Linked DNA regions of Danio rerio. The protein of the gene in region 1 interacts with the protein of each later gene in a biochemical or structural test. Links are inferred from orthologs where the notes say so. Each region holds a gene or a part of one and is shown in the gene's direction. Other genes may lie near its edges. The genes, in order: actb2, hip1rb and hnrnpua.

The links.
Region 2: the proteins of actb2 (region 1) and hip1rb form a complex in vitro, tested with the Homo sapiens proteins (2 studies listed by BioGRID). The link is inferred for Danio rerio from reciprocal best matches to the Homo sapiens genes ACTB and HIP1R.
Region 3: the proteins of actb2 (region 1) and hnrnpua form a complex in vitro, tested with the Homo sapiens proteins (2 studies listed by BioGRID). The link is inferred for Danio rerio from reciprocal best matches to the Homo sapiens genes ACTB and HNRNPU.

The regions. Positions count from the first base shown.
Region 1 is NC_133178.1:39,482,390-39,486,636, reverse strand, and holds the start of actb2 (actin, cytoplasmic 2), read left to right. Parts: upstream 1-1,348; 5' UTR 1,349-1,361; intron 1,362-2,586; 5' UTR 2,587-2,676; intron 2,677-4,037; 5' UTR 4,038-4,044; coding exon 4,045-4,167; intron 4,168-4,247. UniProt on the Homo sapiens protein: Actin is a highly conserved protein that polymerizes to produce filaments that form cross-linked networks in the cytoplasm of cells.
Region 2 is NC_133180.1:72,284,277-72,287,930, reverse strand, and holds part of hip1rb (huntingtin interacting protein 1 related b), read left to right. Parts: coding exon 1-23; intron 24-237; coding exon 238-268; intron 269-503; coding exon 504-566; intron 567-2,237; coding exon 2,238-2,338; intron 2,339-3,196; coding exon 3,197-3,302; intron 3,303-3,654. UniProt on the Homo sapiens protein: Component of clathrin-coated pits and vesicles, that may link the endocytic machinery to the actin cytoskeleton. Binds 3-phosphoinositides (via ENTH domain).
Region 3 is NC_133192.1:12,690,140-12,694,232, reverse strand, and holds the start of hnrnpua (heterogeneous nuclear ribonucleoprotein U), read left to right. Parts: upstream 1-1,279; 5' UTR 1,280-1,403; coding exon 1,404-1,818; intron 1,819-3,753; coding exon 3,754-3,868; intron 3,869-4,093. UniProt on the Homo sapiens protein: DNA- and RNA-binding protein involved in several cellular processes such as nuclear chromatin organization, telomere-length regulation, transcription, mRNA alternative splicing and stability, Xist-mediated transcriptional silencing and mitotic cell progression.

The DNA.
Region 1 (4,247 bases):
AAACTATGAAATGCAGCATGACACGCCCAAAAAGTGTTCCTTTGAGAACAACTTCATAAATATGTTTCTTATCATTATGCATGAATGGTGTACTGGGAGAGCTTTGGTATCAGAATTGAGATAAGAGACTTTGGCATTCTAAAGGACAATGACATTATCACACTGACAGTCAACAACACTTTATTGCTCTGGAAATCTTATGTCATGGGGCAAAGCTGAGGTTCATTAGGACAGTACCTTATTTAGAGATGAATGGGAAGGCTGTAGTGGGCTGCTATCAGGGAAGGGTGGTGGTCCTCGGGGGAACTATGGACTCACAAAAGCACATCTGCTGTAACAAGATCCCCTGTGCAATCTACAAAAGTTACAAAGAGAAGCATGGTTGGTTAAAAAATAGAATTGACTGGATATGCTGAATGCATTGTTTGTTGTGTGTTACATCACATTAACCACAGATTGGTGCTAAATATTTGCTTATCTTATAAAAACCTGTGTGTTTATAAAGGGGGGTGTGGATGGATGCTTGGCATTCTTTGAAAAGATGTTGGGGGATGGAAGGAGGAGACCTTATTGATGAGTATCCAGTTTGCAGATAACAAGTTTTTAGACATTCATACTATGATGCTGTTTATGTCTGTTTTTTCTCATTTTTTCTATACACAAACAGCTATAAAACATTCACTTTTATATCTGATGCTGTATATTAAATTTCGTTGTATTTATTCTGTTTGCTCTGTTGGGTCATAGCTAGGGCCAGACAGAATCTGCTGACATTTTTTGCTTTTTCTGCAGAGAATTTTGTAAACAATCTGTGATTTATGCGAGATTTTTTCGGGAGTATCGTAACTAAAAACTTACTATATGAAATAAAAAAAAATAATACCTTTTTAACTTTTAATAAATATATACAATGCAAGTCCACCTAGATCCAATTATTTGGTCGACAAAGCAAGTCTCTCACATAATATATCTTCTAAAAGACAGAAAACATTACTTTCAGACCATATTGTAATCAAATGAACACTTTCATATTAGTCAATAATATTACGGAAATGTATTTAAAAACTGAATAAACATATATTTACACCTTTGTCTTTATTTCTAGAGTGCTTTTACAATGTAGATTGTGTCAAAGCAGCTTAACTTAGAGGATTAGTATAGTAAATTGAAACTGTGTCAGTCCATTTTTTAAGAGTTTAAGTTCAGTTCAGTTTAGTTCAGTGTGAGTTAATTTTTACTGCTGAGAGTCCAAACACTAAAGAGCAAATCCAAATACACAAGTCAATAAATAAACTCAATGATGGGCTAAAGATCTGGGGAAATCTGCAGATTTCTGTGCGCACAGATTCTGTGTGGGCCTAGTCATTACCTATACTCAACGTTTACTCTGAGAAACTTCCATATTTTAGAGGTAAAATGCTCAGAATTGTAAAAAGTCTTGTCAAAATACTTGGAATTTGCCAAAAACAAAATAAAAGTCACATCACCTCATTGTCCTTGGTATCAGCAAGCACTTTTAACACAATCAGCTGTTTTTGTTTATAACTCCCACTGAAGGCCATGTGCATTACTCCCAAGTTACACAGTAAAAAGTCACATGTAGTTTATCATGATCACTGCTGCTCAAGCACAGCTTTATCTGTTATTCAGTGTGGCAATATCTGAAATGTGTGCAAAATATTATTTATTGTAGCTGATCACCAACACTTTCAGTGTTTTTTTTTTCTACTTTTAATGAGAATTATGTTCTTAGGATTTATCCTTATAAACCTCTTTAAAAAGAAATGTTATGTCTGCATAGACACGACATGAAATTATGAACAGAAAATTTAACTATTTAAGATCAAGACTTGACATATAACATTTCTAATGAACATTAAACCTGAGGTAGGCCCACTTGCAAAAATGTAACTGCTATCACTCACTTTATACATCATTGTGTAACTTGTACACACAAAAATAGTGAAGCAATGTGGCATGGAATGCAGGTCCCATTCATTCAAAGTTATTAAAGCACTTTCTTAAAGTGCATTACTACTGAGCTAAGACCAGCTAGTTGCTCATACAACATACTACAAGTAGTGTCATCCTAATTTGGATAAAAAAAATGTCCATTTTATACATGGAAAAGTACTCATTAGATCCCCCATTGTTTGTATTACGGTATTTCGTGAACACAAGAGGTAAATGACCTACAGAGCTGCTGTTGTGTTAGATTGAAAACACAACACAGGATCATGGAGGCATCCATCATTATGACGCATTCTGCCACTTGTAACTCTGCACAGACTTTTTGAAAAGTTTAATTGAGTCTTGGCGTTGTCGCAGAAAAATACGAAAAATTCTGTGTTAAAATTTGCAAATAAAAATTCCAGTTTTATAGGAAATCGCCATGGCCTTGTTCTTTAACCAGTTAAGCTTCCCCTTCTTTCACTCTCAAGTTGCAAGAAGCAAGTGTAGCAATGTGCACGCGACAGCCGGGTGTGTGACGCTGGACCAATCAGAGCACAGAGCTCCGAAAGTTTACCTTTTATGGCTAGAGCCGGGTATGTGCCGTCATATAAAAGAGCGCGCCCAGCTTTTCAGCCTCACTTTGAGCTCCTCCACACGCAGCTAGTGCGGAATATCATCTGCTTGTAACCCATTCTCTTAAGTCGACAACCCCCCAAACCCAAGGTGAGTTGGTTTTACAGTTTTTAAGCGTTTAATTATAGTTTCTATCTATTAATGTTAAGTAAAATGTGTAAATGGATAAATATGATTTGATGAAGTCTTTAGACAGTTCATAACGGTCTCTTTGTAGTTATCTACTAGGTTTGATTTATAAGTGGTGGTTCTTTTGATAATCTATGTTACATTTAATAAATATTGGCTGTATCTTAACTTTTTTGTAGCGTTAGTGGATGTGGCAGGTGAGAATGTCGGTAATTTAACGTGACCAGTCGTAGGCACGACATTGAACATTGAATAGGCCGGTGTGAAATGGGTGTTAAGTCTTAATATAAAGTTGTGTTCTGGCTAATCTCTCTTTAACAGCCATAAATGTGATTTTTAACTACAGTTTTGAGGGTGCTGGTGAGCATGTTGCACACTTGATGGATAGCCGGCATGGGAAGTTCTTTGTGCAGGCAGTGCTGCAGCAGGGTGTGACCTACTTTAGCTAGCCGGCTAACCAGCTCTCATCTGATGTAACGTAAACCCCATCAATCTAACATCGGCTCATTCGTGCTTTATAAGATCGAAGATCTTGTTATTAGTAACGGGTATTGGCATTTAGTTTTAACTTGGTTAATTTTCTTTTTGTTATGTGTTCTATTTAAATGTAGCCTGCAGCCCCCTCTGTCTTTAATGAAGCTGAAGATTAACGTTAACGTTAGTGAAGTGTTGTATCCGCTATGAAAGATTTGAATTTTAGAGGTGTGGTCCACTTTAATAACGGCTGCGGAGTTCTCTGGCTGCACTTCAGCCGCTGTGACTGTCGAAGCAGAGCCCATCAGTTTTTCAGGATCTCGGTGATTTTTGAGGCTAGACTATGAACTGAACCGACTGAGAGTGACCGTCCAGAAATGCTTTAGTGTGAAGTCTCCGCTCACGAGGAGTCCGTGGACTGACTGCAGATCTGTGACGCAGTAACACCCGGCGGCAGACACCCGTTGAAATGCGGTTGTGTAATTGATCGCAGGCGAGGGTGGAAGAGGATGTGAAACTTCATTTGTGTAAAATTTAGGGAGTGGTCCTGGTGTGATGAATGTCGAAATCTGTTCCTTTTTACTGAGCCCTACGACTCTGGCTGAGTGCCACACCGCCGGCAGCCGCAAAGCGGCTCAAACCATTGCCTTTTATGGTAATAATGAGAGAATGCAGAGGGACTTCCTTTGTCTGGCATATCTGAGGCGCGCGCTGTCACTAGCGCCCACCAGCGGTCAGACTGTAGAATGCAGAGCAAAACAGGAAGTTGACTCCAGATGGTCACATGCTTGCTGAAACGCCTCTCCCTGGCAGCAGTGCAATTCTAACAGTTTCCCTTTCTTTTACAGTTCAGCCATGGATGATGAAATTGCCGCACTGGTTGTTGACAACGGATCCGGTATGTGCAAAGCCGGATTCGCTGGAGATGATGCTCCCCGTGCTGTCTTCCCATCCATCGTGGGTCGCCCCAGACATCAGGTGAGAAGACCGATTAGTTTGATTCTGACCCAAACTGAGAACTTTCTCAAGTAGTTCACAAAATGTAACGCTTGTGTCCT
Region 2 (3,654 bases), on another chromosome or scaffold:
GTTCAGCTGGAGGTGAATGAAAGGTTGGTGTTGTTGTTGTTGTTTTTTATTATTATTATTGTTAATTTTTTAATTGTTAAATGCAAATGTCACTCTTTTAATATCTGAATATAATAAATGAGTAATTAATTATTAATGTTACTATGTGTTATATATATATATATAAGTTATTAACATATAAGAGTTTTTGCATGGGCCTATAAAAATGCATTTTGTCTTTTAATATTTGTCTTGAAGGATCCTGAACAGCTGCACTGACCTGATGCAGGTGAGATTAGCACACACTGAATCATCGATGCCAAAAATCAACATTTGAGTTTCTACAGTACATCATGCACTTACTAAGGCATTAGAGTCAGTTAGTGCTGGCATTTGAGCTAGTTGCTTGCTTGTAATTATGAATGCTTTACTGTAATAATAATTGCATACAACACAAGGGCACTGCTAAATTAAGCATCACTGTTTATCAATGATGTAATTGTCTTAATGTTGATGTCCTGCAGGCCATTCGTCTTCTGGTGTTGGCATCCACAGACCTGCAGAAGGAGATTGTGGAAGGTGGAAGGGTAAAGTGTTCTTCTTTAAATTATTGTTGATTCATTGATTATTGATTTTCTATTGATTATTAGTACTTTTAAGTTTCAATCTGTTATATAATGCTGGGGAAACACCACAGGAGAAATTGGCTGGATTTGAGCTATCAAAATAATTGCAAAGACTGTCATTGTTTCTTCTTCATCGTTCGCCATTTCTGTTCTCAAGTCTTCTTTGTCACATTGTGGCAGGCCACGCACTATACGAGCAAAACAGTGAAATCTAGCATTTTTTTGTCCTCCTGTTTGTGACTTCTAACATTTTGAAAATCCCATAAGATAAACAACCTTTTAGTATGTACTAGTGGTGTAACAGATCACAGTTGATTTAGATCACAACCCACGGTTCAGAGCGCACGTGTCCTGCAGATTAATAACTTCTTCTTTACCTTTAGATTATTCAGAAGGTCGTGGTTTGCACTCATTCAATAATGGCTTCATACAGTTTTTATTTTACCACTTAATCTCATTTTCATTTCAATATACCATAATTAACCAAACAAGAAATGTTTAGCTTCACCTTCAAGAACATTATTTAACAGTTAAAAAACACATATCAATTATCATCATTCACTTATTTATGTCTACATCAATACAATGAAATTCCGACAGTCCAAAACATTACTTTTTTATTACATTTACTTTTAGATTAATCATACATTTTGTAATGATCGCAGAGAGATCGACAGTATGAAAGCATTTTTTTCTTTCCTGTAAAATAAAATTTTGAGGTAAGAAGTTGTGGTGGCACCTAAACGCTTTCTTAAGTTATTAAAGGTGTTTTCTGTCACTGGTTTAGTCTGCATTAATGCATTGAGTGTAAAGCTGCACAATTCATCTTTGAAAGTTCGGGATCTCTATTCAAACACCCACGCACAAACCTAAATTATGACCTAAATTATAAAGGATGATTTGCATATGTTTATTCATTCTTCGATGCGCTCCATTCAAATCTGCCGTTGACTGTGAAAGAGATTCAGCCTTTAGTTTTTCCAGCCAGTATTATTTCTAATTACATACTATCAAATAACACTGAAGATCTGGGAGATTCGTTTATAGTTCAGATATAAACACTGATGTATATGATAAAGATTAGAATCTATGTTTAATGCAACTTCACGCTCAAAATGAAAATTGTTGCAATTACATTGTTTGACCAATAGGTGGCATCAAAAACGTGTCACTGAATAATTCTTCAAAATGTATATATCTAGTAATGAACATGACGTTTTTGGATTATTAATTGAAAATAATTATGATGTGTTGTCGTACATGATTATAATGTTAAATTGATTTAGCATCATCACAGTATTGAATCATTTCTTTTTTTTAACCAGCTGGTTATTTCTTGATTATATTTTTATTAAAAGTGCAGACTCTAAGATATGTTTTTTTTTTTTAAACATTATTGTTTTTGGTAATAAATGGGAAGCAAATAACATTTGTCTTCTCTCCTTTTTGCCAATCCAAAAAAATGGTTTGATCCATGACTCAAAAACCGTAATGTGGTCTGAACCGTGAAATTTGTGATCAGTTACATCACTAGTATATACCCAGCCTATTTCTATTGAAAAATATTGCCCTATATGTGATTGTGTTTGCTGTGATATTACCACATGATCTGTTGTTGTTTTTTGTTTGTAGGGTGCAGCTTCAGTCAGAGAGTTTTATGCGCGCAATTCTCGCTGGACAGAGGGTCTTATTTCTGCCTCCAAAGCTGTGGGATGGGGCGCGACGCAGATGGTGTATGTATTTATGCATGTTCAAGAGCTCATTAAAACCTATACTTTTGCAATGCCTTGTTTGTAATGTTATCAGGCAATGATCTGTATCTGGAGAGATGTAAAATATCTGTTAATTAACTGTTTCTGTGTTTTGTGTTAATACGTGTGTTGAAAATCTGCCACAGGGGTAAGAACAAATCATCAAAGTCAAAACAATCATTTTTTTCTTACCCCATTGGCAGATTGTTTTGCTTGTTTTAAGTAAAAACTCACTTGATTTTGACTCATTATTTCTGAAAACAAGACAATAATTTTAGCTTGAAAAATTAGGAAAAATTAAAAAGCCTTTATTCACATGGCTAAATCCTAAAAAACCTACGTTTTTTTAACGTAGGGTAACAGGATGAAGGCAGATTCTTGCCGAAACGCGTAGGTTTTTTAGGATTTAGCCATGTAAATAAAGGCTTTTTAAATTTTCCACATTTTTTGAGTGCCGTGGACTGATTCCTGTTGTTGTATTGATGAATCCTTTACCCAAAGAGCACCGACCAAATATTTGAGTTACTCCTGAGCGCTTTTGGTTTGTTTTTCTGGATTAATATTTGTAGCTTTTCTAGAAAATCCTTTTTGATTCATGAGTTTTGCGATATTTGAACTAGAAACAAGACAAAAAATCTAAGTAAGTAAAGCAGTTTTTGCAGTGTGCTTATTTATATTTATTTATTTCTGTAGTAGTTTTCTGATGTTTGTATTGATGTTTGGCATTCCTCTGAACATTCATTTTAACATTCAGATTCTTTGATTATAAAGATTTGACTGTGTAATTTTATGGTTAGCTCTTTGTTTTGCTAACACAACTTTGCTTTCACTTTCCATCAGTGATTCTGCTGATAAAGTGGTGTTGCACACTGGGAAATATGAAGAGTTGATCGTCTGCTCTCACGAGATCGCTGCTAGTACTGCACAGCTTGTTGCAGCCTCCAAGGTTTCACTTTTATATCATTTATCGTATGTCTTTTAGAGCAATGAATCAGAGAAACAATCAGGCAAAAACAAAGTTGCCAGTTCACCTAGAACTGAACATTTCCTCCTTACCTTCAATTGGTTCAGAACAAATTATACGTTTTTTTCTGTTGATAAAAAAGACTTTACAGACCTGAAACTTGCCTATAGCACTTATTCATTGTTGCTTTTATAGTTGTGTAAATTGCTTCCTTGTCCTCATTTGTAAGCCGCTTTGGATAAAAGTGTCTGCTAAATGACTAAATGTAAATGTAAAAGAAGATATTCTGAAGAATGTTGGAAAAAGCAGCCACTGACATCCATAGTAGACAAAA
Region 3 (4,093 bases), on another chromosome or scaffold:
ATCAGGGGCAAGGTCATAAGAACAAGCCCCAGAGTAGAATCTGAACATTTTGCTCCAAATCTCAAAAGGTTTTGGCCATGACCAAAAAATATGTCCTATGAAGCCTTCAGCTTCACATTTATTACATTTACAGGAGATAGAGGACTAGAATTTATTAAGCTTAACCCTATAGAATAATGAAGCCAATGCACACTTTTATATTGGATTAGGTGTCTTGAGTTAATAGAACATGTCAAGAGTTTAGATGCAAAAAACATCTGAAATTTCCATAGAAAATTTACTTTTTTCTCAGCATCCTTTGTTTATGTTGAGATATTTTACTTTAAAGCCCAGGAAAAGGACTTAATCTTTGCCATTTAAGTGATATGAATACACATAAAAAATACTCCTTTTAGGGAAATGTTTCAAAAGGCATTTAGAGGTTTTTGCATCTTCACACTCTTATGTATTTATTATGACCTTGATAGACTTTTTCCAGTCCCCATTGGTAATTATAATCTGTAAATCTTTCAAGAATCTTTCAAATACAAAGTAGATATGTCAAACTGATTATTACAAACGGCTATAAAATGGGAAATCAAAATAGAGGCATCAGGAGAGGCAGAAATTAATTTATATACATCATGTTCATCTGCTCATCAAGTGGCCAAATTCTGGCTTTCTGAGGAAAGTGAAATGAGATGGTGAGTTTTTTTTTTCTGCTACACTTTTTAGTTTAAAACAAGTTTGACCATATATTTTTAAAATGATGGATGATAAAAAATTTGTATTTAAAAATAAGTATGTTTTTATTTTTCTTTATTAATTTTTTATTTGAATAAAACTCATAGCATTATTTATATAACTGTAGTAAATTAAAGTTTAAATGCAAATTCTTTGTAATAAAGCAGTATAAGCACTCTAGAAAATATTTTTAGTACGTCAAAAAGATTCGGCGAAGATTAGTAATTAAAATGTCACTACAATGCATTATTTAAACCTCATAATTGAATAGAAAATGAGGTGAATAACTGCAGAAAAGGTCCACTTTTTCAGAAAAAAGAGCCACCCTATCTAAAGGACTGTAAAATATCTAATTAAATTCCATGTTTAAAAACAGAACAAAAAATGCCTTAAGTTTTAAACAAAAAAGCCACACAGACAATACAATTTCTAAAAATTGTAAAACTACGTCTATTATCTTAAATCAATATCGATATTTACGGTAGTCTCATACGCGCTCGGCTATAACGTGCTTTACGGTAGATTATATAAAGCTGAGCTGGCCTTGTTCCGCTTCGACTGCTGCCTACAGTGACCGCACCGCGCGTTAACGGACAGTCCGCTCACAACAACCTGCCCTTTCCGTTCATATTTTCCGTTCATAATTGCTCAAATACACAAGTCTGAAGACGACGGTCACAATGAGCGCTATAAACGTGAAGAAGCTGAAAGTGAACGAGCTGAAGGACGAGCTAAAGAAAAGGAGTCTGTCTGATAAAGGGCTGAAGGCGGATCTTATGTCGCGCCTGCAGGCCGCACTAGACGAGGAGGCGCTCTCTGGTACTAACGGCTCCGAGCGTCGGTACGAGGACGGAGGAGACCCCGCCGGCAAAGACCTGGAGGAGGACCCGGTGGGAGAGAGCATGGAGGAGGAAGAAGAGGATGGAGGAAACGCGGAGGCCGAGCATGATGATATTATGGAGGAGGAAGAGGAGGACGCCGGGGTAGAGATGGATAAATCGGATGAAGACGCTCTTCTTAAAGATGATGATGGTGATGATGATGAAGATGAAGAGATGGAGAAATTCGATGAGGATGATGTGGCTCTTGACAAGGGTGAGATTATACGATGAAGATCGAGTAATTCATAGTTACTTTGTGTATAATTGGGCTAAAATAATTCATACTGTCAGCAGAACGCGTATACTGGGGTTTGTTATGGGCTCATTGCTGCTGTCCCATTTGTTTCTCCTTGAGTTACTGCTACAGTTTCAGGTTATATGATTTACAGCAATAGGCTTTACTTTGCTAAGTATGTAAGTATTTTATTTTATTCTAATCTAATATAGCTAAATGTTATACATAATTATATTAATTATAATAACATGCATAATATAATACAATGTATTTCTTTTTATTTCAAATATTTATTTCTAATAAAATATAAACTTATATTTTTACGTAATTTAATTATTTTCTTATTCCTATTTCCTTTATTTAGTGTTTTATAATTTTATTGATTATCCAATAGTTTTTCAATATATATATTTTTATGGTGAATGCAACATCTTCTTTACATTGTGCTACATATGTCAAACCTTAATGTAATACATATTTCATTAACCTAATTAAAGTATGAGAAATATCTGCAAATTAAATGCAAGAAATAATGAAAAAAATCCATTGTTATTTTTTTTTATTAAAAATGTACATTTTGATTTATTCATTTTATTTAATTGATCCCTTATAATGTCTTTGCACCAGTACACAGTTGAAGTCATAATTATTAGCTCCCCTGTTTATTTTTTCCCCAATTTCTTTTTAACGGAAAAGAAGCAGATTTTTTCAAAACATTTCTAACCATAATAGTTTTAATAACTCATTTGTAATAACTGATTTATTTTATTATTGTCATGATGACAGTAAATAATATTTTACTTAAGAATTTTCAAGATACTAGTATTCAGCTTAAAATGATATTCAAAGGCTTAACTAGATTAATTATTAACTAGGCAGGTAAGGGTTATTAGGCAAGTTATTGTATAATGATGGTTTGTTCTGTAGACTATTGGAAAATATGTTGCTTAAAGGGGCTAAAAACTCAAACACTATATATTTCATGTTTATTGACTACATGTTTTTAGTGGAAGTTAAACTTTTTCAGGTCCATAGATGCCCTACAGTATTGAGGAGCACCTCATGGTATTCTTTGTTGTCATTTGGCAGATGCTTCTACCCCCTTTGTGCTAAAGGGGGGTTAGTGGCTTTAGCCTACATCTGTGACCATCAAACAGGCCTTATGATGCTATTTTAATTTATTATTTAATTTAAAATAATGCTTTAATTTTCAAAAAAATGTATATTATTTTCCACTTTCTCTGCATTGCTGCAGCTCTGATTGAGTTTTGGTTTCAACCAAGCCCCTTTCTCTGGATAGCCAATATCTCTGATTGGCCATCTGATTCAGTCAGTGCTCTGTGACACCTCATTCATTTGTATACTATAGTCATGAACATTAGAAAAGCATTTTAAAGCATCATATGGCCTTGTCAAGTCTCGCCACTCTTTTAATTATTGTCTTAAGACATTAAAGTCATGTAGGACAACAAATCAACGTAGTGACATACTGTTGAGTGGTATCGTCATTTCATTTGCGATACGAGTACAAGTATTTTAACAAAGCATTGACCCGATACTGGTTTCAGTATCGGTGCATCGCTAATTTTTATGTCACAACATTTGCAGTTCTTCAAGATGCATGCAATTTGAATATGTAAATGTGTGTTACTCAGCTCAAAATTGCACAGTTTGCAGTTGTCTTGGCATCAACCTTCTGTCTGTACTCATACAATCCCGCAGTGTACAATACCCGCACTGTCTGACGTCGCTCCTTGAGCATAAATTTTCTTTTAAAGCACTGCTCATTGCAATTCATGCATACCCTAAACAAGAGTATAAATCCTCCAGTAATTCTGTGGACCATCATGTTACATCATGCCTGGTCCAGCAGGGAGGTACTCTTCCTTACGCTTTATTGTTTGTTTTCCAAAGGGGATGCGGACAAAGACAAGAAAGATGAACAGAAGAATAAGAAGGGTGTAAAGAGACGCCGAGATGAACATGGAAGGGCCTACTTTGAATTTATTGAAGAAAGAAAATACAGCCGGTAAGAATTGTGCAGTCGGGCTGCTGGTACTCCTGAGGTTCCGCTGCACCTGAAAGATTTATGAGCAGTTCTGGCAGTAAAGAGCCAGATCTGACATCAGTGCAAAGAAACACACATTTTTACTGACCATTTGAAATAATTTTGAGCTTATAATAATATTAAGGGCATCTCTTTCACCTCAGTGCTCGGGCTGTTAAAGAATGAAATCAATGTGTTTTGGTGGAA